Arabidopsis thaliana: one gene and its partners. The protein of the gene in region 4 interacts with the protein of the main gene of each other region in a pairwise test. Each region holds a gene or a part of one and is shown on either strand. Other genes may lie near its edges.

Region 1 (7,832 bases), 9.7 Mb from region 4:
GTAGCAACAATAAATGAATTATGAATATTACAGTTGGAGTGAGTCTTTCTAGATGGAGTATTGTTTTATCTTTGCATATAATAGTGTTATGTTATGTTCTTACACAAATTTGAACATGCGGAACAATTTTGCATCTAGATTCTTTATTTAGGTATTGATAAAGAGATACAAAGGTCCAAATTGCACTTTTAGAGACGTCAAAAACTTGGTAAAATCTCTTCTTTCTGACTTCTAAAATACCAAAATTACCCATAAGAACTCATGTATGTACGGAATTACCATTTATGATACTGACAACGATATCACGGGCTCCAACGAAATTGTGATCTCTTTTGTGCGAATCTTATCTTTCTTATTAGTAAAATATTAGGATACACGTCGAATCTTGCGGTGTGGCAACGTGGTACGTATCTCCAAAGTTGTTCGTTCGGTTATCTAAATAATGTTGAATCAAATAAACATTGCATGTAATGACAAGAAGATTCCTGTTCGGTTGGTTCAAAGTTTGTAAAACGCCAAGTTCTGCTGCAACTTTCCAGCATTGAAAATTCCAATAATATATGACAACACAGAATTATTTCTATAAATCATTATAAAATTTTCGTGAAGACATGTTAGGGAAATACGGAGAAAGAGGGGGTGGTTGAGGCTCACACATGAACCAAGCCGTTGTCATCTCGATTATTTTCTTCCGAGTAGATAATGATTATCAATTTAGATTAAATTTTTTTAAGAAATGAAAAGTGAGCATTTTAAATTTTTTTATCTTTGATTTGTTAATGATGATGAATTGTAAAATTTAAGAATAATTACTATTGCTTTAGGGTAAAAAATTGTTAATCACAAAAAGTGATGCATTTATAATCAGATTTTTGTAATTTTGTTTTATTATGTGAAAACTGAAAAGTTTAATACGATTAGACTAATTACAAACAGATATATTACTTTCTTTTTTTAGTTTGACAAGTTTTTAGTTTGTTGTTGTATAAGTAATATGGTCACACTAGCTAATTTTTTTTTTTCGTCGATCACACATTCACACTAGCTAATTAAACAGTTACATGACTCACCTATAGCAAAGTACATGTAGCCTGTTAAATGATTAGTATAAGTTAAGTTTATAAAACAAGTGACTCGCCTGTCGCCAAAAGTTCAAAAACATATTTAACCCAAACGTGTAATGATAATCATAACCTAGTAATACTAAAGAAAATGTTACAATTAGAAAAAATATTAAAATGGTCAAGACTATTTAATTATTTAACGTTCAAATGTTTGGAATTATTTATTAATTATTTCATCTGTTGAGTATATTCATTGAGAATAGAAGCAACAAATATTAAATTCTAAAAAATAATAAAGTAAGATACACAGAATAAAATTTAGGAAAGCAATAAATAACCGAGTAGAAATCATAAAGCAATTGAAACTGCAAAATCAAAACAGTCAAATATATTCTTCAAAATGTTGAAATGTGTGTACCTAATTATGTAAAATTTCCATGCAATTTGTTTCCGAGTACCGGAGCCATCTGGTCAACTTTTTCATTTAGTGTGTATCTATCAAATCAAAGTGCTGGCCATTAAGTTCCTTAAAACTTGTAAAAGAGATTGAAAAAAAAAAAAAAATACAAATAAATATACTAATTGATTGGCTTCTTCACCTTTTGATATTTAAAAATGCCAATTTTTTAATTTGGAGGTAAAGACAAAATATCTTCTTTCCAACTTGTAGGAGCTGCCTCATCACTCATGTCATGCTTCCATCTTTTTGAAAAGCACCCAAATACCCTGACTTTTTTTACATATGTACGAAGTTGCCATTTAGTGGTATCGACAACATTATCACGAGTTCCAACTTTCAAGTAATTCGCGATCTACTTTGTGAATCCATTTGTTAATATAATAACTGTGATACTCCGAATCTTTAGTTGCGGCAACAAGGTACGTACGAATCTCCAAAATCGTTGAGTTTAAATAACACTAATATAATAAACACATTATTTCATGTGGTGGACAAATGAAATTAGAGATTCGTGAATAGGTTGGTTGAAAGTTTGTAAAAACACACTTTTTCAAAATAAAATAAAACAGAGTTTGTAAAAACACACTTTATCAAATTAAAACAAAAAAGAGTTTGTAAAAGCACCTACTTCTGCTGAAACTTCAAACTTGCAAGCATCTAAAAGTCTAATTAGTGATGTAAGACATAGAAATTATTTCCATAAATTATTATTTATTTGCATCAGACATGAAAGATTGTCATTTCTGATTATTATGCTTGAGTAAATGGTTCAACTTCGTTTTACCAAATTGTTAATGCTTCTAGAAAGCAATACTTCGAGTTATTTATATCTATTGCGTCAATGCAAGGTTTGTTTTAGACTTTTTAGCTATTTAAAGCAATAAGTATGAACTAATATCAAAAAAGTATGAGCTATATCAAAAGTCCAAACTTAAAAACGGTCAGGCTTTTACTTAGTCCATGCTTCACATTCCTAATTGCTTATCTAGAATGCAGCAAATAATGATCATAAAATTTGAAAAAAGCGTTATAGAAAAAACTCCAAAGAGAACACAAATGACCACATAGATATTATCATCACAACCCCATGAAACTGTACATCTAAAACATTACTGAAATGCAAAAAAATATCCAAAACAATATTTAAGTATCACAAAACATCATTTAAAATAATACTCTAGAAAATAGAGAATAAAAGTAAAAATCCAAATCAAACCGGAGTAGGTGTAGTATTAGCACCAGAAGGAGAAGGAGATCGTGGCTCAACTCTCCTAAGCTGAATGGCTTTGTGAGACTCATCATCATCAAAGTACATATAAGCAAAACCACCGTGCCTGGTCATATCCATACCGGCCATCTCATCCTCGGACGATATCCGCAACAATTTCATTTTCTTGAGGATGAAGAAAAGTGTCCCCATGGTCGCACTTACCCAACCCGTGATCACAATGATCTGAATCAGCTGAGCTCCAAGTAGTTTTCCTCCACCGCCCATAAACAAACCGTGTGGCCTTCCGGGTTTGTTGCCGTAAATCTGGTTCAAGTACTTTTCTTGAGCGAAGAGAGCCGTGAATATTAGTCCCCACGCACCGCAACCACCGTGTAGTTGTGCTGCCTCAAGAGGGTCGTCGTATTTGAGCTTCTCAGCGAGCTTGTTGCATCCGAGGAGGACTAGGGCCGCCACGAACCCGCAGATGATCGCAGCCCATGGCTCAACGACAGAGCAGCCACCAGTTATGGCTGCAAACCCTCCGAGGAGGCCGTTGCATACATCAGTGACGTTCCAATGTCCCGAGAGTAGACGTTTCCCAAATAGGGTTGTCAGCGCCGCGGTGCAGCCAGCTAACGTTGTTGTGACAGCTGTCCGTCCGACCGCGCTCCACTGGCCGTTGTATGTGCCTGTCTCGTACGTGACTAGGATCTTGTTGAAGGAACCGGGGTTAAATCCGTACCATCCAAACCAGAGGAGGAATGTTCCAAGGACAACAAGTGACGCCGAGTGGCCACGAAGAGCGATGGCACGGCCTCCGTTATCGAACCGGCCAAGTCGTGGACCTTCGATGAGCGCACCCCAGAGTCCAGCGATACCTCCGACCATATGAACAACACCGGACCCAGCGAAATCTATCGCTCCGGTGCTGAAAAGCAAATCTCCATCGGTACGGAACGGGCTGGCCCATCCATCAACTGACCAGAACCAGTGAGAGACGACCGGGTAAACAAACCCGGTTAAGAAAGAGGAATAGATTAGGTAAGCCACGAACTGTGTCCGTTCAGCGATCGAGCCACTTGTGATTCCAGCCGCAGCGATTGCAAAGGCCCATTGGTAGAGAAAGTTGGAGTAGTCAGCAGAGGCCGTGGGGATGTCTTTGAGACCAAAGTAGTGTTTACCGATGAAACCATTGGACGGAGATCCAAAGGCAAAGGCGTAGCCAAACAGATAATAGAAGAGACCACCGGCTGCAGCGTCAAGGACGTTGGTAAGCATGATGTTCATAGTATTCTTGGCTCTCACGGAACCGGCACAGAGCATAGCGAAGCCAAGCTGCATAGAGAAGACAAGGTAGGCGGAGAAGAGAAGGTAAGTGTTGTCTATAGCGAAAGCGGTGTCGATAAATTTGTTGTTGACGTCGCCTAACTGGCCACAGATGTAGTTGGCCGCCGCCGTGGCATTAGGACCCAACAGGACAGCGAGATCGGTGGCCGAGCAAGACATGTTGAGAGTTTAGAGAAGAAGATGAAACAGAGAGGCTGAGAAAGAAAGTGTTTTGTTTCTCTGTTTATATAAAAGAAGGAAGCTAAAGGCCTAGGGTTGACTTTTCAATCCTGACGAAAAATATTCGTAACGCATAATACAAAGTCTTTAAGTTTTGTTTATTAGTACATACATGTGAATAAAAAATAAATAAGGAATGTAAATGTATCAGGCTTCAGCTAATATATCGGTGAAGATAAGATCTGTGTGTTCAGAAAAAAATATTCTATCACATCCAAATGTATAAGTGAATAACAGAAAAATAAAATGTAAAAATATTCTATCACATCCATATAGTTGTTGGAAATGGCAGCGAAATTTCGAATTTCTTCTTCTTCGTTTAGCCACAGGGCTAGTGATTCCTCAACTTCATCATCTTCTTCATATTCATCATTGCTTGCTTTACCTCAATTCTTTTGTCCACCATCACCATTAGGATTCCCAGAATTCAAGCTTCATGCCAAATTAGGTACTCTTATATCTTTTATTTGTTTGTAGATGTAAATTTTGTTAATCTTTGGTTATTGCATAAGGTGGAGGAGATGGAGAAGTGAAGCCTAAAGATAAGAAAAAGTTTATAACCAAAGAGGAAGAACCTGAACAGTAAGTTAATCTTAATTCTCAATTTTCATCATGAGATTGTAGAAAATAACAGAAACTCATAGAATGGTAATGTAATTTTGCAAAATCACAGAAAAACAAACCTAGGAAATTGATGAAAACATGGAAAATTACAAAACGATATGTAGGTTACCAATTTAATACAAAAATTTTAGTCTCCATTGCAGAATTTAAGTAGTTTTTTTTTTTGTATGTGTCAATGACATGTAGACTGGTGGTTTGTGACATTGTGTTAGTATTGTATCAATATCCAGACTCAAATCCGTGTTAGCAAAAGAATAAAAATATTTGGGTTGTAGTTTAGTCAAAAGAACTAAACTCTTTTAAAATAGAAAAAGAACTTAAATTCTTGCATGTTCATTTTTCATAAACATGCAATTGTGATTGAAGAAATGGTTATGGATGAGGATTGCATTGGAATTTTGTAGGTATTGGCAAAGCGTTGGAGAAAGAGAAGGAGAGAATCCGATGAAGACGCCTCTTCCTTACATTATCATATTCGGTATGTCAACTCCATTCGTCATCTTAGCCATTGCTTTTGCCAATGGTTGGATCAAAGTTCCCATTCGTTGAGCCTTTCTTTTTGTTTTTTCTTCACTTGTTTAAGGCTGAATCTTAAACATGTTTCTTATACTCTTCTTCTTCGGCTGTAAAAAAGAACAAATTAATAGAATGCTATCACTATATTATATGGTGCTTTGCTATACTACATGTCTTCATTACAAGCAAATGTATAAACAAATATTAGTCATCTCTTCATCATTAGTGATATGTTTGGTCTTGTCAAGAAGAATGAGAATTAGAGACAACACAAAGTAGTGACATAGAGCCTAGTTGGCACATTAAGCAGAGACTTGAAATCATCTAGAAGACTTTTCAAATTACAGCCTGACGAAAAATATTCGTAACGCAAATTGCAAAGTCTTTAAGTTTTTGTTTGTAAGTACATGTGAATAGAAAATAAATAAGAATAATAATAATAAAAAGGAATGTAAAAAATGTATCAGCTAATATATCGGTGAAGATAAGATATGTGTGTTCTTAAAAAAGTATTCTATCACATCCAAATATATAAGTGAATAACAGAAAAATATATATAGTATTGAGACTGAAATTCCTTGTTTTTATTGTTTTCTTGGTTAGGCGAAATTTCTTACTATCTCTTTTGAACATTAAAAAGTGTCAATTTGACAAGATATTCTTTTGTTTTCAAAAGTAAGTCTTAGATTTGAGTATTAATATATTATAAATTACGTACTTACAAAACTATGTTTGCATTTAGCATATTTCGAATTCATTTATAAGATATTAATTGATAATTTCTGTGATATCTCAACCAGGTTGTTGTTGGTATATCTTAATTGACTAATTGAGAGTGAGCATAATATCCACATACCACATGCTATAAAGTTAATGTTTCTTTTCCGTTAAATTATCTTTTCTATTTATATAATATAAAATTTTCACAAAGTAGTTTTCCTAAAACATGTTTGGAAATTCATCAAGTTAAAAAGTAACTATATGATAGAACCAAGCATAAAAAATTGATCAAGAGATATTTAGATTCCAAGATTGGGGAATAGAGGCAACAATGTACAGTTTACTTTTGGTCTTGATGAAGGCGTCAACGAGCATATAGTACTCTTGATTTCCAAGCTAGATGCAGTTGATCTACCGCGATTTGTGATGGGGCTTGAATTACAAATTTATTCACCCTTATAGCAGATCTTTCATCGAGTAAATATCAAAATATTTGCGGACAACTGAATCCGATAAAGGCTTATGTGAATATTGCAAGTGAACATGACAATGTTCTTGTTCAATCCGATCAAAGTGTAGACATCAATTTTATTGAGTTTAATTTATAAATGACGAGGGTCATAAGACATCTTAACTCAAAGGATTTGGAGACTAAGCTCAAGTTTCGGGATTGAAGAACTTATTTGATGAGAGGCTTCTCTTTTGGTGAATTCAATACCAATGGCATGAGCATATTGAAGGGATGCTCTTTCACGACTCTTTAAAATATCTTAAAAAGTAGATATGAAAAAGAAGAAATTGAGAGAAAAGTCATATAGAGAGAAGAAAATTAGAAGTATATACAAAAAAAATCGATAAAAACTGTAAAGAAATCGAAGAGGATATAAAATTTCTCGACGTCGACGAACTAAAACTCTATCGATACCGAAAATTAGTCTTTGAAGTGGTATTTCAATAATATTGCATGAAAGTGTTTTACCAGTATCATCACTAAAAACAATAAGTGTATGTTTTTAAAAATATATACTATACCTTTTTTTTTCTTTATATCATCGATGTCGAGATATATCTCGATTCTTAGGTTGTTAACTCTACAAAACAAATATTCGTAATTAAATTCTAGCGAAAAAAAATCCACAAAAAATGGAACTTTAATCGCTTGACCAAAAATATTTCTCCATACAAACTAAATAATTCGTACACATGTTTTACTATATTTAATCAGACATCTAGTTAATGATACTGCAGAATTTTTTTTACAAATTCATGAAACTGATTACTTTAAAATTTAGAAGAAGCTGATTTAAACATGTTATTTTCTGTATATAAATATTGGGTATTAATATTCTCTATATATATACTATTAGAAAGTTACTTTAATTTGCCCCAAAAAAAAGTTGCTTTAACTACACCTGATTATTATAAAACAGACGCAATAAGAACCAAAATGAACTAAAGTTGATTCCGACATTTGTAGTTAGTAAGCAAATATTGACCAGGGAATCTGCATCTCCGGGTTTGGACTTTTCCAAATAAATAATTAGGATTCATGAAAAAATGATAATAACACGCAAGAAAAATTATATAATCGAGCATAATAAGACCCACTGGTATATTCTTTTTAATACTTTTGAGTTTTAGTTCACACGAAAACTTATTATCAATTGTTGAC
Region 2 (9,164 bases), on a different chromosome or scaffold from region 4:
TTGTGTTCTCGATGTTCATCTCTGAATTTTTAGTTTTTTCATCTTTTTGCGTTGTCTCCTGCATGCAATTATTTGACTTGACTTGAATAAATATAGTTTAGTTCTTTGTTTGTTTGGGCAAAAAATGTAGTTTAGTTCAGAAATTCGGTAAACAATATTAAGATCTGGTAATAAGAGACATATTTTTTGTAAGTTTAACCATTGCAATTTCAAGGATTTGTTCTTGTGGTTTAGCCCCTTTTAGTCTCAGTAAGTATTGTGTGTTTAATCTTGGACCGGATCCTTTTGTACACAATATTTTACAATATATGCAATTTCAGATATGATCAATACAAAATATACTTTTTTAGATAGAATTTTAGAAACACAGGCTCCATGTTCTTAAATATAAGGCCAAAAGGGAAAAAAAAGTTCCCACTATCTATCGAATACTTGTTAGATCAAACGATGATATATTATTGTATAGAACTACAATGAAAAAATGTATGGTGTAACTGTGTATTAACATTATAAACGTGATGGTCGTGTCGTGAGTAGGTAGTTTTTTTCCTTGGTCAAATAGTATAAGTTTTCTTCTCTGTTTTATAATATTTTAAATGAAAATATTTTACTTTTCTACAATGTTTTATATATAGTAGATAATACGAGATATGATTGAACCCTATCAACTTGCTTCGCTACGATTTTCAACAATTTATCTCACAAAACCAATAAAATGTCCACCCGTTATCAACGTGACACAAACACATCAAAGAAGGGAACAGTTCTACTGGCCACCTCATGAGTCATGACTCAACCATTATTGTGTCCTGGACTTCTTTCTAGAATGTAAATTGATGAACGAAAATTTCAGCTCTGCCCTTGGCTAAAGCGGCTGAAGTCCATGCTTTAGGCACACAAATTTATAGATAGTTGTAAAAGGTAACAAATTTCGAAAATGTTTCGTAATCTAGTGGTTATTTCATAGATTAATGTCTTATTAGTGAACGGTTAGAATTTTAGCTTTGTTTTTTGTGACTTTTAATTAGAAATAGATTTAAAAATGCTTAACAATTTTAAATAAACTTAAATATGTTTTAGGCATTAAAATCTGTTGGGTTAGTTCTGTCGAGGCGGATTGGACGTTGGTTTTTTTGTATATAAATTAGTGGGCTTCATGGATAGATCCATCGTAGATCACAAATTCATGTGGATAAACTCGTCGCAGATTGTGGGTTGCCCGTAAAAGAAAAATCAACTCTTTTAAAACATAATGTTTTTTCATAGAGGATTTCAATCCTTTTGTCTCTGTTAGAATTTTTTGTGCAGTTCAAAAACCCTAATCAAAGTATTTCACGATCACTTAACAAGAAATCTGAAGAATCATTCTCTATTTCTTCAAGTTTCTTTTTATGACCACATCAAAAAAAATTAAATCGTCGAAACTTTTGATTTTAAGTCAAAACAGAGCATTTGTAAACTACACACTTGTAATGGTAAGTTATTTGTGAATACACATCCATGATTAGATGTTTTATTTTTGTTTGATTGATTCGCAAGTAGTGACTAGTTTTGTATTTTGTTACTGATATGATTCGTTTGACTCCGAGTATTTTAGATCTAATAATCTGGAATATCAGAAAGTCATTAAGTTGAAAAATGCTAAATCTAAACGACAACAAGCTAACAATGAACCAAAAGGACCTAAAAAACTGGAAAGAAAACTAAGAGATGAAATAGGAGCACCTAAGCCACATAGAAAAAAGGTGAATGAACCAGAAACATTTAAAACCCAAAGAAAAAAGGGTGATGAAGCAGAAGCATATAAAACAGAAAGAAAAAAAAAGTTTGATGAAATTGAAGAAAAAAAGTCTGTCTTCATGTTCGTTGCACTCGTCGTGAACCCCGAACCTCAAATGATTTAAAGATTAAAAAAGTATTAGACTGCTTTCGATAATTCCTTCTTAGTTCTATGAAACACTATAATCTATTTAGACTACCTCAGCGTATCAATATTTTTTTCTTGTATAGAATATCCAATCACGACCAATCGAATTTCATCAATCTATAAGAATGCCATTCTCATGCAATTTTTCTCTTATAGCCAACATGCTCATGCAATTTTGATTATTTACTTAAATAAATAAATAAATAGAAGTTTATATAAGTGTCAATAATAAGCTTAACCTTGAGATTCTTTGAGAAACGTTGCATTTATAGAAGAATTTGTCAGTAATTCTAGTAAGATACGAGCAATCAATTGGTATTTTTGATTGTTACTTCTCTCATCTCACAAGTTTGAATGGTTACGGCAGTTAAGATGGATAAATCCGTCAATGGTTTAATCCGAACTATTTTTAAAGTAGACAACAAACCGTCGCAACCAACTCTATTTATATGTAAAAACGGTATGTGGTTGATCCGCATCAGTTTTCTTTTTTAAATCCACACAGAAGTAATTTGTGAAATGGTAAATAAAACGTGGTCAAATACACAAACGAATTTGTCCACCTTAACCACAACAATCATTTAGACCCTAAAATTGATAATAAATGGACAAGTGAACATAGAAAATATGGCAATTTATGTTATTTTAGACAATCGAAGCGATTATTTAGGCGTTACCTGAGAGTCTAGTGCCTAGATAGAGTGTAAACGACCGCCTAGACCATTTTTTATAATACTGAACTTTTGTAATCATTTATTTCGGAGGTGGTGCACACGACAATGCCTACATTACTCGTGAAAACTATATTATACCTCAGAATACCAAAGTCCATGTTCCCGATCCCAATATCATCAAAGAGTTGGCCCATATCAAATGCTATGTTAATTTTTCTTATCTTTTCAAATTATTCTAATGTTGTGTTGCCAACGACTGCTTTTACTTTATAATAGAATAGAAATAATAGAAGTTAGTTTCCGCGATTACTATTATATGCTTACATTTATACCGGACTAGTTATCTCCAGAAGAAAACCGTCCGTTTTCAATTTGAAAACAGTCTGTAAAAGAAAGACTTACATTTATCTAATGCGGATTTGTATTGTGTGTGTGTGTGCTTTTTTCTTACATGTATTTATTGGTAATGTACATTTAATTATATGTCAAGGTGGTTGCTGGTGTGTGTAAGGTTTCATAATCTGCTAGAATAGTTAAGAGGTCACCTTCATTTACCAAATGGATTTTGTCTTCTAATTGATTTAAATCCATTTTTTTCTTTTATTCTTTGAATACTTTTTCATAATTATTTCGTATCCTCCACACTAACTCATTTCTACTTTGCTACATTTACAAGTTTCATCTAATCTACTTAAATTAACAAAAAAAAAAAAAAATTGTTTCCTTATTTAAAAATTAGATTTCTCGTAAATTGGACTTTGATTTTAATTATTGTCTATTCAAAGTTTTATTTTTTTACCTTAAAAAGTGTTGACTTTGATATTTCATTACCTTAAGAAGAAGAATCACCGACAGCTCCAACTTAGGAAATCTCAACCGTTGATTAAATCAAACGAGATACTAAAATATCCAACGGCCATAAATCGTCCAATTGCCATGTTTCTTCCCACTCTCTTCTCCTTCATTTAAGAAATTTCACTCTCCGAAGAAGAAGACGAAATCGAGCAAATCCATGGCGAAAGTTCGGATTTTGATCTTCACCCTTGTCTTATTCTTCTCCCTCAATGTCCATATCCATGGATTTTACCTTCCCGGCGTCGCTCCACAAGATTTCCAAATGGTCAGCCACATAAAATCATCTCTGTATCTGTATTTCACAAATGCAGCTTCTTCTTAGAGCTTTGATTCACACTGGGTCTAGATTTTTTTCTGATTTAGATCCAACGCAATCGATCAAGTAATCTTGTTAAAATTGGATCTATGGCTCTGTTTTATGAGATTTGGGTAATTTTGATCTTCAGTTACCACTGAGTGTTGTGTTTAAAGAGAATGTTTCATTAGTCTATATGTATTAGCCATTGTTTAGACTTGTTTCTGTGTGAATCTAGCTTTTGGAGTAGAAGAATGTATAATGGTCATTATCTATAAAGGTTCAAACTTTGGAGTTATGGTTTTGTTTTTCAGGGAGATGCATTGATGGTGAAAGTTAATAAATTGACATCTACAAAGACTCAGCTTCCATATTCCTATTATTCTCTTCCTTATTGTCGTCCAGAACATATTGTTGATAGTGCTGAGAATCTCGGTGAAGTTCTTCGTGGTGATCGAATTGAGAACTCTCCTTTTGTGGTATGTTCTTGTTTCTTCTTGGTTCTTTCTCTATCTGTCTTGGTTAAGTGGTAGTTGTTGAGTTGTTTTTAATGTCTGTTTGTTTCTTTGTTGCAGTTTAAAATGAGGGAATCGCAGATGTGTGCTGCGGTTTGTCGTGTGAAGCTTGATAAGAAAACCGCAAAGGCGTTTAAGGAGAAGATTGCTGATGAATATCGAGTTAACATGTGAGGAGATTGATTTTGTCGCCTTCGACTGAATGTGTTTTGTTTTTCTTCTGTTTTTATGAGGAAGATTGATTTCTTATGCAGGATTTTGGACAACCTTCCCCTAGTTGTTCCGGTGCAAAGGCCAGATCAGGACAATGTTGTAGTGTATCAGCATGGTTTCCATGTTGGTCTCAAGGGAATCTTTGCTGGCGTAAGAGCTCATCATCACCTTTTCTGAATATGTTTCAATGGAAAGAGTTCTTATTTATTTGATTTTCTTGTAGAAAAAGGAGGAGAAGTATTTTATCCACAACCACTTGACCTTCACTGTTAGGTATCACAGAGATATACAGACCGATTCTTCAAGAATCGTTGGCTTTGAAGTCAAGCCGTTCAGGTAGCTTTTTGTGATTTAAGGACTTTGACTCTGTATTGTGTAAGCGACTAACATCTACTGATTTTATCTCGATGCAGTGTCAAACATGAATATGAAGGTCAATGGAATGAAAAGGCTCGGTTAACGACTTGTGATCCGCATACAAAGCGTGCAGTCACTAACTCTGAGTCTCCTCAGGAGGTTGAAGAAGGGAACGAGATTATCTTCACATATGATGTTGACTTCCAGGAAAGTGAGGTGAAATGGGCGTCTAGGTGGGACACTTACCTTCTAATGGCTGATGATCAGATTCATTGGTTCTCAATCGTTAATTCTATGATGATTGTTCTTTTCCTCTCTGGTATGGTCGCTATGATCATGCTAAGAACACTCTACCGAGATATTTCCAACTACAATCAGTTAGAGAGTCATGAAGAGGCCCTCGAAGAGACGGGTTGGAAATTGGTACACGGAGATGTTTTCAGACCGCCAACAAACCCGGAGTTGCTTTGTGTTTATGCAGGCACTGGAGTTCAATGCTTTGGAATGATTCTTGTCACCATGATCTTTGCTTGTCTTGGCTTTTTATCTCCTTCAAACCGTGGTGGTCTTATGACGGCTATGCTTTTGCTTTGGGTTTTCATGGGACTATTGGCAGGATACGCGTCTTCACGCCTCTACAAGACGTTAAGAGGAACCGAATGGAAAAGAAACGCTCTGAAAACCGCATTCATGTTTCCCGCTACCGTCTTTGTCGCCTTCTTTGTCCTTAATGCGATAATCTGGGGACAAAAATCATCCGGTGCAGTCCCATTTGGTACAATGTTTGCTTTGGTTGTCCTCTGGTTTGGTATCTCTGTTCCACTTGTTTTCATCGGTGGCTACATTGGTTTCAGAAAACCTGCACCGGAAGATCCAGTGAAAACCAACAAGATCCCGCGGCAGATCCCAACACAGGCCTGGTACATGAACCCAATCTTCTCCATTTTGATTGGAGGCATTCTCCCATTTGGCGCAGTCTTCATCGAGCTCTTCTTCATACTCACCTCAATATGGCTACATCAGTTCTACTACATATTCGGCTTCCTCTTCATCGTCTTCATCATTTTGATCATCACTTGCGCAGAGATCACGGTCGTCCTCTGTTATTTTCAGCTGTGTAGTGAAGACTATCAATGGTGGTGGAGATCTTACTTAACATCAGGCTCTTCCGCGGTTTACCTCTTTCTTTACGCAGTCTTTTACTTCTACACCAAACTTGAGATCACAAAGCTCGTCTCTGCAGTGCTCTACTTTGGGTACATGCTCATAGTTTCATACGTATTCTTCGTCTTTACTGGTGCAATTGGTTTCTACGCATGCTTTTGGTTCACCAGGCTTATCTACTCTTCGGTTAAAATCGATTGATCTTTAATCACCTTCTTAGTAAGCTGTATCTTAAATCTTGTTCTTTTTCGTTCTTTTGTTTCCTCCTTTTAAATTTTGTGATGATTTTGAGATATGTAGACATAAACTTTTATTTTATTGTAAACATACATAGAGCTCAAGAGTACAACAATTGTCTCATAATAACAGCAACTTGTCACACACTTTTATCAGCAATCTCAGTTTTTATTTCTTCCATTCTTAGTAGATTAGAAACTAAGTTTGTTACTACTGCAAGGTCATACAGTTTACATTTTTTTAATAACTGTTTCTAATCGACAATTTTTTTTTGGAATTCATGAAACTGCGTACCTCATGTTTTTAGGAACATAGTTTTCAGAATATTAAAAATGAAATAAAAAATAATGAACTCGATCGACAAGGTCAAGTCAAGATAGTATGTGGTAGATAAACAAAAACAAAAAGAAACGTATGTGGTGGATAATTTAGAATTGAATGAGTCAATCAGTAGTCTATATGGACCAGTGGCACAAATCACTGAGCAGAGATGCATGAAGAATTAGGAGGATAAGAAGTCCGACGAGTTCACACGATAGATTGTTCTCGAAGTCAAGAACTAAACTCCAGAAGTGTTTTTATTTTCCTTTTTTCTTATTAAAGGCATACTCAGAAGCCATAGTCATAACCTATTACTTACCACACACTGCACACACATACACACAGAAAGTAATTATGAGTCCACAACAATCTTATTGCTTTTCTGGTGTTACGTTGTATTCCTTCTTTTTGGTTTTCTTTGTTCTACACACATTTGCTTCTCCTACGCTTCACTATTGCCGCCATGACCAAAGGGATGCTCTTTAAGAGTTCAAACACGAGTTTCCGATCAATCAATCCAAGCTAGATCCTTATTTTGCATCATTAAGTTTATGGAACAAGAGCAGTGATTGTTGTTATTGGAAGGGTGTCAAGTGCGATGCTAAGTCTGGCAAGGTGATTTCACTTTACCTTAATTACGTCTTTCTCAACAACTCCTTGAAACCAAATAGTGGTCTTTTTAAACTCCAACATCTTCAAAAATTAACCATTTCAACTTGCTATCTCTATGGGGAGATTCCTTCTTTATTCGGAAACCTTTCCCATCTCACAAAACTTAACCTTCTCAATAATAGATTAGTAGGTCAAGTTCCATATTCATTTGGAAACTTAACCCATCTTAGGCACCTAGACCTTAGTGAAAACAACTTAAGTGGGAGAACCAGTTCAAGGGACATATAGAGTTTGGGAATACAACTTCATCGCCTAGGCTTATTGGTATACACCTTGGCGATAACAAATTTGATGGCTCAGTCCCTGAATCTATATCTAAATTTTCGAAGCGCAAAATGTTCAGTCTTACAAACAACAATTTCATCGGGACAATCCCAAAATCTATATCACAGTTACATAACCTCTATATCCTTGATCTTTCCTACAATAAGATGGAAGGAACAGTACCAGGTTGCTTATCAAGATTGACATGGTTATCGCTTTCTCACAACTCTTTTAGTAGTATTGGAAAGTCATTAGAAGTTCTAGATAGAGCTCCAATGCGTGTATTGAGTCTTGAGTCAAATTCATTCCAAGGACCGTTTCCCCATTGGATTTATAAGAAAAGTCAATAGAAATTTTGCTTCCCCACAGAGGCCGAATATCTCCAAACACTCTTTCTTCTTGGACATGTTACACATGATGTTGAAATGGACATAAAGCCCGCTGGCCTGAAAGGATACGGTCTTATTTTGTGGACCCGAACCCGTTTAAAGACACTATATAATAGGTTGACCCGTTTAGATTTGACTACTAATAATGGATCTGAAAAATACTAAAAAGGTAGCCCGTTTAGACCTAATTACTAAATTGTCTGAATAAGATGCTAAAAGTCTTTGCTTTCACTATTCTAGTGATTTCTTTCGGAAATTCCAGAAATTTGATTCGAAATGATTTGTGGATTTATTTGAATGAAATCCACAATTTTCTGAGTATTTCGAAGGAGTCAAGACAAAAATTTCCCCTCTTAATCATGTGAGGAAATGAAGCATATCTTGTTCTTTGTTTCTTGATTTACTTTCTGGTAGTAATGGATAACTAGAGAGATTCAGTGGAATGGCCAAAATCTCATAAGTAGAATTTCATTGGTTTTGCACTGAATATTAGATGGCTTTATGGCTCTGAAAAAGCAGCTCTTGCCGGCCAGTTTAGCATGTTTTTCAACAGACAAATATTTAATAATTATACCTTGATAATGTATAAACAATCTTTTTTTTTATGTTGTGTTTATTGTTTGCCTTGGGATCCAAGTGAACAAAGAAAGCAAGTCAAGGTTTATACTCCATTTCACTACAAATTTTAGTTATCTGCAATAATCAAACCCACTGTTTCTGTTATCAACATAGCAATCTTTCATGTCCTCATTTCCCATGTTTTTTTGTTTATTAATATATATATATATATATATATATATATATATATATATATATATGTATCCATACTCAAATTATTCCATCTATATCGTAGTGACACTGCAATTATAATGATAAGGTGTTCATTTTAGAGTAGTGCAAGACTATTGTAGGAGAATTTAATTTGTATGGGAATGTGACTATGTTTGTTACTCACGAGCAGATTTTAAGGAAGTTGTGAGATAAGAGATTAAAAATTAGGTAGAACTTCTAGGCATTGTCTGATAGTACCATTGGCAGTGCCGTCTCGATATAACCTATGGCAAAACCAAACAAAAATTAAACCTCTTAGTAAAAAAAAAAGTTAAGAAAATTTGGACTTTTCTTCTTTAAGTGTTTTTCTGAAATTAATATTGGACCCTTGGCATTTGCCTACCTTGCCTATAGGTAATAGGTGGAGCCGATGCTGACCATTGGGACACCTTTTACACTGCGAATTTTCCCTTTTGTCTCCAATTGATAAATTTTGTTGGGAATTAACCT
Region 3 (8,395 bases), 8.2 Mb from region 4:
AGTTTTGTTCTCTTTAACTGATGTGAGGACAATATGTTTTCCTTTGATTTTGCAGTTATGTTCACAGAGTTGGTAGAACAGCTAGGGCTGGAAGGGAAGGTTATGCTGTAACGTTTGTGACTGATAGTGACCGATCCCTTTTGAAAGTCATTGTAAGTGAATCATCAGACATACATGGATCTTGCTTTTACCCAATTCATTATCGCTTTGTTTAGACATTTGAATCGACTTTGTTTCTTTGTTTAAAGGCAAAGAAGGTGGGTTCAAAGTTGAAGAGCCGAGTCATCCCAGAGCAGTCAATCGTCAAGTGGTCTCAGATAATCGATGAAATGGAAGATCAATATTCCGCTGTTATTTCAGCAGAGAGGTTTCATTCACACTCATCAAAGAATTATGGTATCCCAGGAGAATTGGTTGATCTGTATACTTAAGCTTTGAGGTGTTTTCATCAATTTCAGGGATGAGCGAGCTCTAAGGAAAGCTGAAATGGAATTTGCAAAGGTAGGCAGCTTTGGTTCTTGTCTTTGTTCAATTATTGTGGGAATAATTTCAAATTCGTGATTATGGGCTTGTTTCTGCAGGCGGAGAACATGCTTGAGCACAGAGATGAAATATATGCACGCCCAAAAAGGACTTGGTTCATGACAGAGAAGGAGAAGAAGCTCGTGGCACAGGCTGAAAAGGTGTTCTTTTAATTTCCTGAGGTTGTTGTTGTAGAGAGAGGGATACACTTGTCTGAATCATTCTTTATACTTTCTCTGAATAGGATTCTGCAGGGAACCCTGCTGGAGGCGAACTAGTTAGTGCTGATAGAGCAGAGGACCTCAAGATGAAGGAGAAGAGAAAACGTGAACGCGAGGTCTGTTTATCAAGAAGCTCTTCACTATTCAGTTGCATTATCGTTCTAGTTTAGTGTTGATTGCTTCTTCCTAGAGAACTTACAATTCTCTTGACCATGCAAGTACAGAAGAATCTTCCTAGGAAAAAACGTAGAAAGCTAGAAGCTGCCAGAGAGATGCTAGAAGATAACGAAGGAGAAGAAGAGGAAGAAGACGAAGAAGGAGACGAAAAGAGAGGAAGATCAAGAGTAAGTATTTCAGAGATACACATCACTCTCTCTCTCTCTCTCTCTCTCTCTCTCTCTCTCTCTCTCTCTCTCTCGCCGGGATGACAAACATTGTATTGATTTTAAATGTGTGTTTTTTTTCAGGGGAAAGACAAGAAAAAACAGGAGACAGATAAGAAGGGATTGACACTAAAGGATCTTGGTTACATGAGAGCAAAAGCGGTGAAAGCAAAACAGAGAGCAATTGATTCCGGTAAGATGGAGAGACCAAAGCCGGACAAGAAACAAAGCCGGAGTAAACCAAGAAACCAGCCTCGTGGTGAAGAGATGAAAGATCTGTTCAAGAGTGATATGGGCGAGAAGAAACAGGGCAGAGGCGGTGCCGCGGCTGCAGCAAAACCTCGGACGAAGTCGAAGAACTCATTCAAGAGCAAAGCCAGGTAAGAAACATTTCATCATAAACATGAAATTTACCAGTAACATAAATTGTAATTTGTTGGTTTAACTCGGTATTTTCTACTTTTATCGTGCAGATATAAGCGTAGGTAAAAGGAAAAAGCATTTTTGAGAAGATATCGAAGGACAATCCCACGAGAAGAAGGACATTTCATTGAGAAGGGTTTAAACAATTTAAATTATTGTTGTAATATCATAATTTAGAACAAAACTGGTTAAGATGTTCGAAATTTTGTTTTCTTTGTCCTATGGTTTTTATAATCTTTCATAAAGCTTTACCATGATTATTCGTAGTATGAAGAAGCAAAAAGTGGTTTAAAAAAAAATTAAAAAAAAAAAGAAGAGGTAAAAAGTCACGTGAGTTGGCGACGGTTGTAGTTGTAGACGCGTGGGCACGTGAGAAGACTATGTATGTTCACAGACTTCAGAACTTGAGACTGTAACCTTTTGTCTGTTCGTACGTGGCACAACTCATTAGTCATTAGAATGTTTTGAACCGGTTTAGGAGCTAATATGAGTTTCTGCATATTCAAGATGCCTTTTATTTCACACCAAGGGGTTTTGATACTAGTTAGGGTCTATAAAACTAAGTCTTAAGTGTTTTGAGCGTGAACTTTTCTTTTTTTTGGTCAGCGTGAAATGTTTCTAAGCTTTTAAACGCATTAAATTTTCATGATATGGATAACAGATGTTACAAAAGAAAAAAATGTATGTGGATAAAGATTAAACTCTTAACTTAATATATTTAGATAGATCGCATATTATATTTGTTGGGAAAAAAAGAGGGGGAGAAAAGAGAGACGATAACACGCTTCACAAGTCATTGGAAAAGAGACTGAGGATTGTTGACGTGTAAGCATCCCCACTTTTGCTCTTTTCTTTCTTACACTCCTCATTTTTTCTTATCTTACGCTTCACCTACCATATTTTACACTCCACACAACATCTCCAATATTATACATCTCCAATTAAAAATCTTTCATAGGCACATCATTTATTATAAAATAACTAATTCGTTATAGACTCTAGTCTAGTTTTCTAGTTAAAACTGATCCCTAGAAAATATTTTGATCATAAAACTATTTCGGTGTGAAAACGAATCACTAAACCATCCTTTGGTGTTTTGGGTTAAATAACTAAAACATTTCGGTATGAAAACAGATCACTAAACCATCTCATTAGCATTAACAAGGATATTAGAATAGGAAGCTTTTTTTACCAATAAAAATGATTATAGGTAGGTAGGCACATGGCATACACATATGATTTATCTGTGAGACTGTGACAAATACAAATATGAAGACATTCCATATTTGCATGCAAGAAAAAAAGAAGGAAGTAAAGAGTGAACAGATAGTCAGATACGTAAAACGAATAAAGGAGAAGATGGTAAGATGTCGTATTATATATCCAAAAATAAGAATACAAACAAAAGAAGAACACTGATAAATATTTTTGTTACTCCCCCGAGAAAAGGCCAAGGTCCCCGAATCTGACGGAGTTTATTGCATCTGTCTTTTTTTCCTTCTTCTCCTTTCTTTTTGGTTTATCTTTCTTTTTCATACTCTGCATGTTTTTAAACTTCACTGTAGTACAGAATTTCATCTTTAACATAAATTTGTGTGAGGGCGATTTATGATCGATCATTCCACCTTTTTTTAAATGACTTTACTGACAAAATAAACATATTATTCTTTAGTCTTAAATAAATAGAATCTTGTTTTATAATTTTGCTATTTTTATTACGTTATTTTACCAATCAAAACTATGGTTTTATATTCCAAATTTTATTAATATAGTGGCAACTTCCCAAATAAAAATCTTGACAATTTGAATAATCTTAAATTTTTGCCTAGCCGATTTGGCGAATTTTATTTATTTATTTATTTGTTCTATTTAAGAAATATCAGACTCACCGAAATATTTATTTCTTAACAAATTAAGCTAACCGCTCTCAAATTTTTGTTTTGTCTTATTTCATACATATTAAATCCATTGCACCAAAATTTGAGGACTCTATGTGTTATAAAAATAATCACCGTTTTAGACTAAAAATAAATTAAAATCTGCGCTTCCCCAAAAAGCTATAATGGCGAGACACTCCATAATAAAACCAATGCAATGTAATGGACACATGTCTTTAAAAGCAAGAAGTGAAAGATAGAGAAAGTTTCAACTTCAAGCATTACACATTACCAAAAAGAGAGATCACAAACAAAGCATCTTTTCTATTTTCATTTATCAACAACAACAAAACCAAAAACTTAATTAGTGTTTCTCTGCTTTTTTAGTTCCCCCACAAAATCGAATCCTTCTGTTCGGTTACCAAATGGGTTCCAACTGATTTGTCCGTTATTATTCTTTTTATTTTCTTCGTGTTTTTTTTGTGTTGAAAAAATGATGAAGAGAGAGACGTTAATAGAAGCAGGAATAATCGGAGGATTGGCCGGAGCTCAGGTGATTTACGCCGGAAACTCGGAGCTACTGAGTCAGTTGCTGTCTCTCGGAATTGACCCACTTCTTATCGTTATCTTATGCACCTTTGCATCAGTTCTTCTCATCACCCCTCTCGCTTTTCTCCTTGAAAGGTATCTTCTTCTTTCTTTTAATTTACAAAATCTCTGTTTCGAACTTTATTCTACATTCTTTTTCTAATAAAAATTTGGATTTTTGTGGTGTGTATTTGTAGGAAGCTTTGGCCTAGAAGTCTAAGTTTCAAGTTGAAGATAAAACTAGTTTTGGTTGCTCTTGCTGGGTAAAAACTCCTCTTTTTATTTATTTCTGCATGTTTTGATTAATAGATGCTTACCTTGCTTCTTCTATACGTTAAAGAGAAGGAGAAGAATTAAAAATTCATAACAAGGGATTAATTAAGAGAGAAGTTGTGTTTGAAACAGAGTGACTCTGTTCCAGGGGTTATTCTTGGAAGGAATGAAACACACCTCTGCTTCAATGGCTACAGCTATGCCTAATCTCTGCCCTGCTTTCATTTTTGTCATTGCTTGGGCTGCTGGGTAAATCTTTTACTTTTGTGTTAATCTAATCTGTTTAGTGTTTGAAGATTAGAGCTTTCATTAATGTGTTATTTGAATAAATTGTAATTGTTAAGGATGGAGAAAGTGAAGCTAAGTTGTATGTATAGTAGAGTTAAGATGGGAGGGACAGTGTTGTGTGTGATGGGAGCTCTCATTATGAGCTTAATGCACAGTACTACCGCTACTTTAAGCTCGGTTAAGACTATACCTATTGTCCCTGACGAAGTCGTTGTGGACAAGGACAAGATCTTAGGTTGCCTCTATCTCCTCCTTGCCATTTGCGGCTTGTCCTCTAGTATTGTCCTTCAGGTTTCACCTTATACCCCTTCTTAGCCCTAGAGCTATCATATATCCGGTTGTGCTAATTAATCTGATTCTTTGCTTGTGAAATCACTTTGATCGTCCTAATTAGGCATCCATACTAGCCGAGTTTCCGGCGCCTATATCAATGTTCTCGATGGTATCTTTGATGGGTGGGATCACCACAGTAGCTTTGCAGTATGCTCTTAAGGGAAGTATGGAAATGGGAAGTGCATCAGTAATCGGTCTCGGCCACCTTGTGGGATACGCAATACTGGTACGTCATAAATCATATATGGTTGGCAACATTTGGATGTGTTGAAAATGTTTTTGTTTTTTTTCTAGGGAGGGTTGGTGAGTGGAGGAGGGTTAAGCTTCAATGCATGGGTGATTAAGAGGAAAGGACCAGTGATTGTGTCTCTCTTTAGTCCAATTGCAACTGTGGTATGTGTTGTTGTCTCTGCTTTTACCATGGAAGAGAGTTTCAACCTAGGAAGGTACATTTTTGCAGCTTTTCGCATTCATTGTATGATCTTTTAGACAGAAAGAGAAGTCATTTATCTTCTTTCTTGTTTGTTTTTCTCTGTCAAATTAGCTTTGCGGGAATGGCGTTGATGTTCGGAGGACTCTACTTCGTTCTGTGGGCTAAAGGAAAAGAGGATTGTGAAGAAATAGATGAAATGAAACAAGATGATGAAGAAAGTTTGCTTAGAACAGAGTTTGATCTTCAGAAGCCTCTCTTGCTTTAGTTCAAAGTCTTTTTTTTTTCTTCTTCTTAATGTTCTTGTGAATTTAGTTTAGGTTTAAAGAAGTAAGACAATTTTACTTTACAGATAATTCGGTTAGATATACATGTAGTAGGCTGTAGACTACAGTATATGTTCGTGTGTGATACTAAAATAGTTGGATATAAAAAAAACATCACATACATACAGGGCGAAGAAAAAGGGCCTAAACGATGTTATGTAAAAAGTTGTTCAATGTGAAGGTATATTTATATATAAATAAAAATTACCGTTGAGTTAGAAGATGAAGATAAACCTACCTAATATGAGAATGCGAATGGAACTAAGCAAATACACGCCAAAGACTGTTTTCCTATTCCCAAAGAAAAGCTGAGCCAGAGTATAAGTCAGGTGTGGAGATGGAGTTAGATAATGACAAACAAGGTAGAAACAAAAAAACGCAAGTCAGGGTATTTATAGAATTGTCATTACATAGCAGATGACCAAGCAGGTTAGTGTCCGCTATATCGGAAAGCTTCAAGAGAACGGGAAGATCTTCGATTCCACCATTGGAAAAGCACCTTTTAATACTTATGTGATATGGCAATTAAGGGATGGAGTTATGTGATTGGTACGTGATACTTATGAAGTTGTTGTTACATGCAGGTCATGGTAAAGTCATTAAGGGATGGGATGTTGGCTTAAATGGTAACTTAGTTTCGTCCTCCTAAAGGTTTTCATCACTTTGTTTCAAATGGTGTATTGCTCTCAAGTTTTAAAAATTTCACAGGCATGTGTGTTGGGGACAAAAGAAGGATTACAATTCCTCCATCAATGTCGATATCTTCTTCTCTTTCTCCATGCGCTTGATGGATACCTTCAATATCTTCTCTACATAAAATCTTGGCGAACGACTATAATTGTACTTCGTTGTAGATATCATGCATACGTGCTTCCATTAATCTGCAAATTTGCTAATAAATCGCAGTAGCTGGAACTGGAACATTAGACTTCTGGATGTAAAAGCATTAATGAACTTTTGGTCAACCATTAGACCAAGAGGTTTCCACGATTTCTTTCTTATAGTCAATTAATATATTTATTTGGATGAAAAGTTAACTAATATTAAACACTGAACAGAGATTTTTTTGTTTGCATCTGAAGAGTTACGTAGTTACTGAAAATTGAGATTGAAGCAAAGCTAAGTAGTTAACACGATAGATTCCATTGTGTAAGCCTCTTCTTTACTCAACTATGTATTAAAGTTCCAACAACTCAAATTCAAATCCTTGCTGGTAATGTTAACATATGTATTCTTTGTCACCTTTTCAATAAAACCATGATTACCAAAGGTATATTATCAATTTAATGGATTCTTGACTACTGCTACGTCTGTGTGACTATGCAACATCTTTCATACACTTTATCAAAGAAATAACATTTTTAATACATGGTATTTTCCTCTGTTAAAAAAGTATTAGTTTTTTTTTATTAGTAGTCATATTTACTGTTTTGACATCCACATGTTTTGTATGAACCAAAACAAGAACTGTTACTATAGTTAATACGACAAATAATTATGTAACTTCTAATTGCTTAGAAAGTATAAACCAACTTGTTTTGGATAACCAAAACACATAAGTAAGTTTTTCGAATCGGAGAAGCTATCACATTTATTAGTATCATCTGTATTATTGGTAATTAAATCAGAATACTATACTATCATTGAACCAATGGTAATCATTTTATAGTTCTTATCATTAACCCATTACGTAGAAATTAAAGTAAAACTAAATAGAGATTTAAGTATGAATGTCAAGTTTGTTGAACTTGCAATCATAAACAAAATTCAGTCCCGGTTCGAAAATTCAAAACATTAAGACACTTATCACACTCGCAAACAATTACATTTTTTTAAAAACTTTTTTGTCTTTTTCTTTCATTTGAAATGAGACTATAACAGCAATGAGTATAATCTCTCTGCTGCAAACAAAATAATGACAGCCAAGAGTTCTCAATTCAGCTAAACAAAGTGGAACCGAATGCAAAACATGTTGAAGTCATGTAAAACATATACTTCTCTATTTTTAAAATAAATTTTTCTTTAAGAAAAAAACTAAATAACCAAACCGGAAATTTGGATTTATGGTGGTCTAGTGGTTCAACTTACTTGGACCTTTCCAATCATCATTGTGTAGTCATTCACTTATGTGTCGACACCATCGTATGTTAAAGGATACCAACCTAAGTACAATTATATAAATGTTATGATTATATGTTGTTTAGTTTTTATTGTTCAAACACTCGAACCACTAATAAAAACTCATGAGTATCAAGTTATTTAAACGTTTAACCGTTAAAAATGACATTTCAGCATTAAAACCTCAACACCCAATTAAAATCAATGCAACTAAAACAATCGTTTATATAATTCCAACCTCGACACTTCAACCGATTCTGCCATTACAATTCCTCCAACTAACCCAACCAACATAATTCACACACACATACTTTGTTATGCTTAGAAACTCTTTTTATGCTTTAAGAAGTCAATAATCAACTAAAGAAGCAAAACAACAGCTTTTTGTTTTGTGCTTTGTTAGTCTATCTTTTAAACCTTTGTAATTAACTAATAATTCAAATTTTAATCTTTCTGCATTAATTCGAGATTCTTCACTCGGTGGTTATCGTTGTCAGCCAGAATTAAAAATAGTATAGTTTTCTCTTAATTTTTCTTACTAAAACTAAACAAAAAAACTTATCTTTACGTATCATTAGTGGTAGTTATCGTATGGACCAAAAAGTCATAATTG
Region 4 (7,157 bases):
AGATTGGGGAATTACCAAAAGATATGCCTTGTACTAGTAACTATGAGGACCATAGTTTTCATAATCATGTTGAAGAAGATGTCACTGAGGATCTTCCTTGTGGTGGTGATGATATTGATGCTGATGCTTCTATTAAAAAAGAGGTTGCAGAGTTCGACGAGGACGAGGTTGATATATTGGAATGCAATGATAACATTGAGATTCAAGTCTCAGGGTGTGATGATGGGACTGATGGATATTCGAGTTCGTTTGGTGGAACGGATTCTGAACATGAGAATGATCAAGAAGTTGACTCCATGATTTGTAATGAGACTTCACTTCCTCTTTGGGTGAGGTAAGCTCTTTCCTCACGCTTCTTATTTAGTCTTTTATCTTAATGGTTTCCATGAAGGTTTGTTGTGTGTTTAACCAATAGCAGAATGAGAAAAAAATGTCCTCTTGCTTAATTTGGTTTTGTAGAGATTTTGATGGTTTTGGTAGCTTGTGTACTTTTACTTTTTAATTGAACACTATCAGTTCCATCTCTATGTTGCTGGATTCTTAAAAGACTGAAATTTAGGAGTTACTTGGGTTCCTGTACTAATGAGAAAAACGTCTGTAGCTTAATTTGGTGTTGTAGATTTTCATGGATTTGGTAGCCTTGTTTACTGTTACTTATTATTGAACACTATCAGTTCCATCTATGTGTTGTTTGATTGATTCTGAAAGGACTTAAATTTGTGTGTTACTTTACTACGACTTAGCTAGCTGCGTCTTTGATTTATCTCCTTTTAAGGAAGTCAGGAGAAGAATTGCTCTATATCGTGAATGGTATGCGGTAATTATTATGGTTTGTTCCTTTTTATGGCAGAAAAAGGAAGCTGACTGATCATTGGAGGAGGTTTGTACAGCCTACTTTAATGTGGCGTTGCAAATGGATTGAACTCAAATACAAAGAACTTCAGAACCAAGCACAGAAGTACGACAAAGAAGTTGAAGAATATTACCAAGCCAAGAAGTTGGAGTTAGAAAATGTCAAATCAGAAGAACTTGGAGTAAAGGCTTTACCTCCTCTTCCATGTTATACTCAGAAAACCCGACTCATGAAGAGGAAAACGAGAAAGCGAGTTGAAGAGACCGCTGATGTTACATCCTATGCATCAAACCATAATCTCTTCTCTTATTATGGTATGGAACTAGTTTGGTGTTCTTGTCTTTCTGGTCGTGATTAATGTTCATCTACCATTACTTGTCTAATAATTTCTTATCTTATTGTTTCTGATCTTTGTATAGATTGTCGGAAATCTTTGGCCGATATTGCTCTTAATGACAACTCCCGCAACCTAGGTATGGTGTTCTAAAATCTCAACTATGATATGATATTACTCCTTTTGAAAACTTTGATCTTATAAAATATTTTCTGTCTTGGGTCATCAGATAAGAAGAATAAGAGCGCCAAGGATGAGACAGCTTTCTCTGAAGAGACACCGCCTCTCGAGTTTAGAGAAGGCGATGCGTACTTGGAACAGATACTTTTGAAAATTGAAGCAGCAAAGTCAGAAGCCCGTAACTTGAAGATCCGCGTAGACAAGGTTTTGAGTGAAAATCCAAGTATATTCCCTCTGGCTAACACAGTGAATCCACTTGGAGCTGCTGATGTATACACCAGCTCAGAACAACAAAAGCCCCTGCTGGCTATCAAAAACGAAGATGAGAAATCGATCATCTCTGAAGAAAAACCGGTGAAATCTGCTTCAGTTTCATCTCATCACGTCTCACCTGAAGACGACGAGACAACAGATATTTTACTGTCTGAGATTCTAGCATCAAAGCGAAGGGAAGGGAAATCTATTATTCCCGATAAGAATCTAGTGAAGACAGAACAAGCTTCAATTGAGGAAGGTCCATCAAGACCTGTAAGTTTTCCGCTAACTCAGTGTAACTTTGCTAAACCCTTTTGGTCTCATATGCCATTCTAACACAACGCAGGTAAGGAAAAGAACACCGCGCAATCGTGAAATCATTACGAAGGAAGAGAGTAACCCAAAGAGGCGTCGGGTTTCAAGAGAGAAGCCAAAGTCTAATGCTGTGATGGCTTCTAGGTTTTCCAACAGGAAGAGAAAGCGAGGAAAACGAAGGTCAGGCTCTGCCGGGTTACGAAGAAGATCCTGAAGAAGGTTTGGAAACTTTCAAGTAACTAATCGGATCTTGTGTTAAAAAGTAAAAATTGTTCATTCTAAGATATTCTTAACTCTTAAGCCTTTAAAGTACAAAGAAATATTTATAGTGGCTGTGTTTTGATTCTTCATGTCAACAATATATTCAAACTACATCAACTTTTGAACTTTACTTCTATAATTTAGAGTGTATATATTTTTCTCTATTTTGTATTATCAATCAATCATGTTTTATATCTTGTCGGTGCTAAGTTTTTTTTGTTTGGAAAAGAAAGAAAGCTTAGTTAAAACACTATTTCAAATACATTCGTCTAGAGAGTTTGGCAGAGACAATGGCTAAAATGGTGACCGTAGGGACGAATATAACATCAGGTATAAGTTTGATTAATTTTAACTGAGGAACATTCTCTCCTGCTCTCTTAGCCGCCATTGCCGCCGGTGGAGATACTATTCCGGTGATCATAGTGACATCATCGAGTTTACTTGGCTTCACGCTCTTTGACATGAACTCAATGAACAATTTTTTCTTCTCTTCTTCGTCTTTCGCTTCCTTCCACCGCGCGAAACAAACCTGTTTAGATCATTCAACATTGTGTTAAAAATATAGAGAAATTATTATAAGATTCTTTGTGTGATTTTGATAGAGGAGAGGACTCACCTTTATTTGGTCCGGGGTTGGGAAATCGAAGTGCCTGCCTGGTAAAGCCGAGTTGAAGTTGCTGCACTCAATAGATAAAATTCCTTTTAAAAAAAAAAATGTTGGCCAACATAACCATTGTTTTCGAATGATCAAATAATGAAACAATCCTTACTTAAAGATGTCTAAAACAGCAACGTGGAAATCGTCGAAGTTGTTGATAGCTTTTTGGGTAAATTGTTTGTAGAGTGAACCCATTACCATATTCATCATCTGCGTCGGTGGTACCCCTAGGCCAAATATCGAAATCTATTTAGAAAGATATATAGGACGAAAATTTGTCAAAACGGTTATATAACGATTTGAGTCGATAATTGTTAGGTTAAAAAATTGCAAAACCTTTTCCGAGAAAGCCCATTGAACTACCCATATTGTCTAGAAGTTAGTCTTTAGGAAGAAGAAAATGTTATGTTTATATACAAATTTGTATTGGTGTGTGGAATCAGAGACTTGGCTTGGTGGGTTTGTGTCTTTGCAAAGCCAAGAATCTTGAATCTCTACACAAGACCTTGGTTCAAGTATAACTTGTGCTTTACTTACAAAATCTTAGCCATTTCTTCACAGTTGAGTAATGTACTTTTAATAAAAGCATGGGGAATATGACTTGTCCTCTATTCTCACTTTCTTTTTGCCTACCATATTAGATATCCATTAATTTTTTTCTTTTTCAAATCTAGTTCTCTAAGGAACAAGACAAAAATATGAATCTAGCTATTTGAAAGGTACAATAAAAAGCATTGTATTATATGATTGGTTGGATCTATACATGTTTAGTAATAAATTTTAGACAATTCATTTATAGCAACTTGGCCACTTGAGTTGGGTATCAGATATGAATTCAATAAATATTTACCAACTTCACATTATAAAAGACTAAGATCCAACTAAGTAGCTGACACTTTCATTCTCGCATAATTATACTCCAATTGTAAATATTTGTTTAAAGAAACACATGTAATTGGTTTCAAACGTAAATATCAACATTTGATTTACTAACACTTTAAACATTTAAAAGACTAAAACAAATTATGTAACTGCTTTGCTTATTGTTACATAGACGTTACTTACACAAACATTTTATTTTAGAGTAAATGTCCATAATTCTGCATTAAAATTGAATGTGTCATTTTCAATAAAGAACTCGGACCCATCACTAAAGGACTTTTGTCTGCAAAAGAAAAGAACAATCAATGTGTAAAACAGTATTTTCATCACTGACAGATATGAATTCTTATTATTTCCATATAAATAAAATAAAAGAAAACAAACTGTATAATCAATTAAATAATACTCATTACCAAATTCGTAAAGAAAGAGACAATGGTAGGGTCAAAAATATAAAAACTAAAAAATATCAGAGGTGAAATGATAAATAATTTAGAATGCCATAACGAGAACGGCCCATGCGGTTGCAACCGCTCCCACCGCTACATTCCTCAACACCCTTGTGCTCGCTGCTCCGCTCTGCATTCAATTCCATATTTTCATTTTAGTTAATCGAATATGTAATTACTAAATCAATATAACAAAAATTGAAAATCTATGTTCACTGTTTTGAAATGTCTCATTGGTTATTTTTAACATTGATACTCGAACTTGTGACGGTAGATAAATATCAACATTGTTGATATAAGCTAATGTACCTGATCGTCGGCGGAAGGACCGGGAGAAAAAGCGTCGGAGTTAGGTCCGGGAGATTCAGTCGGTGGTGCAGGTGGACCGAGAAGTTCCGGAGCCGGAGCAGGTGCAGCTTGATGCTTTTTCGATTTCTTTGTAGTCTTCTTATGCTTGCTTGGAGCAGGAGCCGGTACATCAGCAACCGGAGCGGCTACCGGAGCTGGAGGAGAATCAGCTACTGGTGCTGGAACCGGTGGAGAGCTCACTGGAGAAGAAACCATTGGTGCAGGAACCGGAGGAGAGCTCTCTGGAACAGGTGTCGGTGGTGGAGACGACTCGCTAACAGGAGCCGGAGATTTTGGTGACTCAACCGGTGAAGAAGCCGAAGCAGTTGGAGTTTTCGCCGGAGCCGTAGTGGGAGAAGTAACGGCGGGGGATTTAGTAGGGGAAGTAGTTGGAGCAGAAGGAGTGGTGGGAGATTTGGTCGGAGAAGAGATAGGAGATTGGCCACCGACACCGGCGACGACAATGCAGATCAATGTAACTGTTAGGAGGAAATTGCGATCCATAATTTTGTTAAAATTTGGATCAAACAAAAAAAAAAAAAAGAGTTTGAACTTTGAAGTGATGGTTAAAGTACTGATGGAGTTTAACCAAGCGTGTTGTTTGTTTGATGTAAGAGAAGTGAGTTTTATATAGGCGATGAGGAGAGATCTGGATCGTTGGATTAAAAAAGGATCACAGACAGATGTAGCCGTTGAGAAACAGAACATCATATCCTGTATCTATTAATGTAGGATTCAATACTTTTTTCATTTTTATTTTACAGAATAGCTCTTTTACTTTTTTCTTGTGCGTTTTTATAAGGATTTTTTTTTCTTGGCATTTTTCTCCTGTTATATTCTGCAATAAATTTATTCGCCAATGGTGGGTAGATTAGCATGTGTTTTGTTGAACATATGATCAGATATAGAAAATCAATTAATAGTAATTGTTTTTACGTTAGACATTAAATTGGTTATACTATAAATCACTAGTCTTGTGTCAACATAATAATTGGATTTGAAATTGATACCAATGTCGCTCACAAATTTTATCATTGTTTAATAATTATGATATTTTATATTATAGATTATATCACACGGTCGAGAAATTTCCAACTACTAAATTGTCGGGAAATTATTAGTTAAAAAAATAGCACAATATAAGGTACATAGTATAATTGAGATAAATTTTTGGGGTACGACACATGGAGTCTTGGATTAGTATTATTATGTGATCATCACGGGTGAAATTATTATGACTTGATGCATCATGCGTCTATAAATAAATAACCTTAATAATGAAAAATGATTAAACTCAAGTTCAATATAATGCAATCAAAATAAGACAAGGAGAATGAGGAAAAGAAAACGTAAACAAAAAAAAAGAGAGTCTTTGATCGGAAGTTAGAGGGAGAGGACAGCTGGTTGATTGATTTTGCCACTTTGGATTGGTGCCCACACGGATTTGTTGGCACTTTCTTCTATTTTGGCTCGTTTTAATCTATAATTTGTTGCCACCGTCACCGTAATTGCCTGAATACTCTTTGGCCTTTTTTCATTCGAGTCGAAATGGAATCAAAACCGTTGCCAATGAAGAAACGTATTGCTTAGGAGCTACGATTTTGATTTCTTTTTGTTGCTTCTCACTTTGTTCCAATCCTTCTTTCAATGACTTTATGTAGAATATTGAAAAGTATTCATAAGCGTTTCCTTATATTTATTATTTTGTGTTTTGCCAGACTAGGAGAAAACACGTTTCGGTCTTAAGCCATTCTTAATACTTTTTTTTTTTTGAGTTTTTGAATATAAAGACAATGAGTAAGTGGAAATTCTGAGAGCGGCGCGTCGGTGGAGAGAAAGCCCAAGCTAATGGTCGTTCGTTGACTTTGTTAAAGACTTTGACGAATGAGACAGTGAGTGTTATAACGATAATAAATGAAACTCGAATCTTGTAATCATTTTTTACTATGAAGCAATTATTTTGAGATTGATTTCAGAAACATGCAACGGTTATATGATCATGGTATCAATGCTGTCAATCAGAGCAGACAGAAGATTGTATTAAAAAAAGAGGTGTCAGAATAAACTTAAAACAACATAAGATCGGCCAAGGGTTGTAAACTCTCATGTTGGAACCTCTCATGTTGAGACCAGAGAAATCATATTTAGATACATTATTAAATCTGTAAAATTATATTAAACACGAGAGTTAATAAAGTTAAAACCCTAACAAAGCTTTTCTAGCTTTTTTTTTGTTTTTTAGATCAGAAACAGACGGAAGATGTTTGACTGAAACACAAGTTTTCTTACTGCTCATGGTTTAGTTAGCCTTCTTCACCTCTTATGAAAGATTGTGAGAGAGACACAGAGAGACAGAGAGAGAAGGAGAGACAGAGAGAGAGAGATTTGAATCTCAATCGTTGTAAGTGCTAAGCGCAGCAACAACCGCTCCTGTTGTCGAAAAAGCCGAGGAAATTTCCGTATGGTCTCTCCACGACGTATTGATTTTCAGGGACGGGTATAACCAAGACTTAACCGAATCAACAAAGGAACCCGGTTCGACATTAAGTATAGCTTCCCAATCGATCTGTAACCCTTTCGGGATAGTCTCAGTGAACTCCATATTAGCAGCAAGCAGAAGTC

What was found.
Region 1: the proteins of AT4G37445 (region 4) and AMT1;1 interact in a protein complementation assay, tested with the Arabidopsis thaliana proteins (one large-scale study listed by BioGRID).
Region 2: the proteins of AT4G37445 (region 4) and AT2G24170 interact in a protein complementation assay, tested with the Arabidopsis thaliana proteins (one large-scale study listed by BioGRID).
Region 3: the proteins of AT4G37445 (region 4) and UMAMIT8 interact in a protein complementation assay, tested with the Arabidopsis thaliana proteins (one large-scale study listed by BioGRID).

The regions. Positions count from the first base shown.
Region 1 is NC_003075.7:7,854,628-7,862,459, reverse strand, and holds AMT1;1 (ammonium transporter 1;1), read right to left. Parts: upstream 4,278-7,832; 5' UTR 4,241-4,277; coding exon 2,735-4,240; 3' UTR 2,542-2,734; downstream 1-2,541. Other genes in the region: AT4G13500 (uncharacterized protein), read left to right, coding at 4,586-4,748, 4,813-4,882, 5,329-5,473. UniProt on the Arabidopsis thaliana protein: High affinity ammonium transporter probably involved in ammonium uptake from the soil, long-distance transport to the shoots and re-uptake of apoplastic ammonium that derives from photorespiration in shoots.
Region 2 is NC_003071.7:10,271,344-10,280,507, reverse strand, and holds AT2G24170 (Endomembrane protein 70 protein family), read left to right. Parts: upstream 1-3,241; 5' UTR 3,242-3,319; intron 3,320-3,386; 5' UTR 3,387-3,613; coding exon 3,614-3,721; intron 3,722-4,065; coding exon 4,066-4,230; intron 4,231-4,326; coding exon 4,327-4,436; intron 4,437-4,520; coding exon 4,521-4,629; intron 4,630-4,702; coding exon 4,703-4,815; intron 4,816-4,892; coding exon 4,893-6,201; 3' UTR 6,202-6,409; downstream 6,410-9,164.
Region 3 is NC_003075.7:9,355,396-9,363,790, reverse strand, and holds UMAMIT8 (nodulin MtN21 /EamA-like transporter family protein), read left to right. Parts: upstream 1-3,551; 5' UTR 3,552-3,919; coding exon 3,920-4,110; intron 4,111-4,211; coding exon 4,212-4,277; intron 4,278-4,319; exon of another isoform or gene 4,320-4,419; coding exon 4,420-4,536; intron 4,537-4,631; coding exon 4,632-4,866; intron 4,867-4,969; coding exon 4,970-5,134; coding exon of another isoform or gene 5,135-5,179; exon of another isoform or gene 5,180-5,202; coding exon 5,203-5,354; intron 5,355-5,452; coding exon 5,453-5,606; 3' UTR 5,607-5,885; downstream 5,886-8,395. Other genes in the region: AT4G16630 (DEA(D/H)-box RNA helicase family protein), read left to right, coding at 56-152, 249-367, 459-501, 582-683, 767-859, 968-1,087, 1,211-1,506, 1,600-1,615.
Region 4 is NC_003075.7:17,601,696-17,608,852, forward strand, and holds AT4G37445 (calcium ion-binding protein), read right to left. Parts: upstream 3,250-7,157; 5' UTR 3,224-3,249; coding exon 3,193-3,223; intron 3,103-3,192; exon of another isoform or gene 3,084-3,102; coding exon 2,969-3,083; intron 2,876-2,968; coding exon 2,815-2,875; intron 2,728-2,814; coding exon 2,449-2,727; 3' UTR 2,399-2,448; downstream 1-2,398. Other genes in the region: AT4G37440 (uncharacterized protein), read left to right, coding at 1-334, 851-1,167, 1,273-1,326, 1,417-1,895, 1,969-2,151; AGP18 (arabinogalactan protein 18), read right to left, coding at 4,231-4,317, 4,497-5,246; SRFR1 (Tetratricopeptide repeat (TPR)-like superfamily protein), read right to left, coding at 6,928-7,157.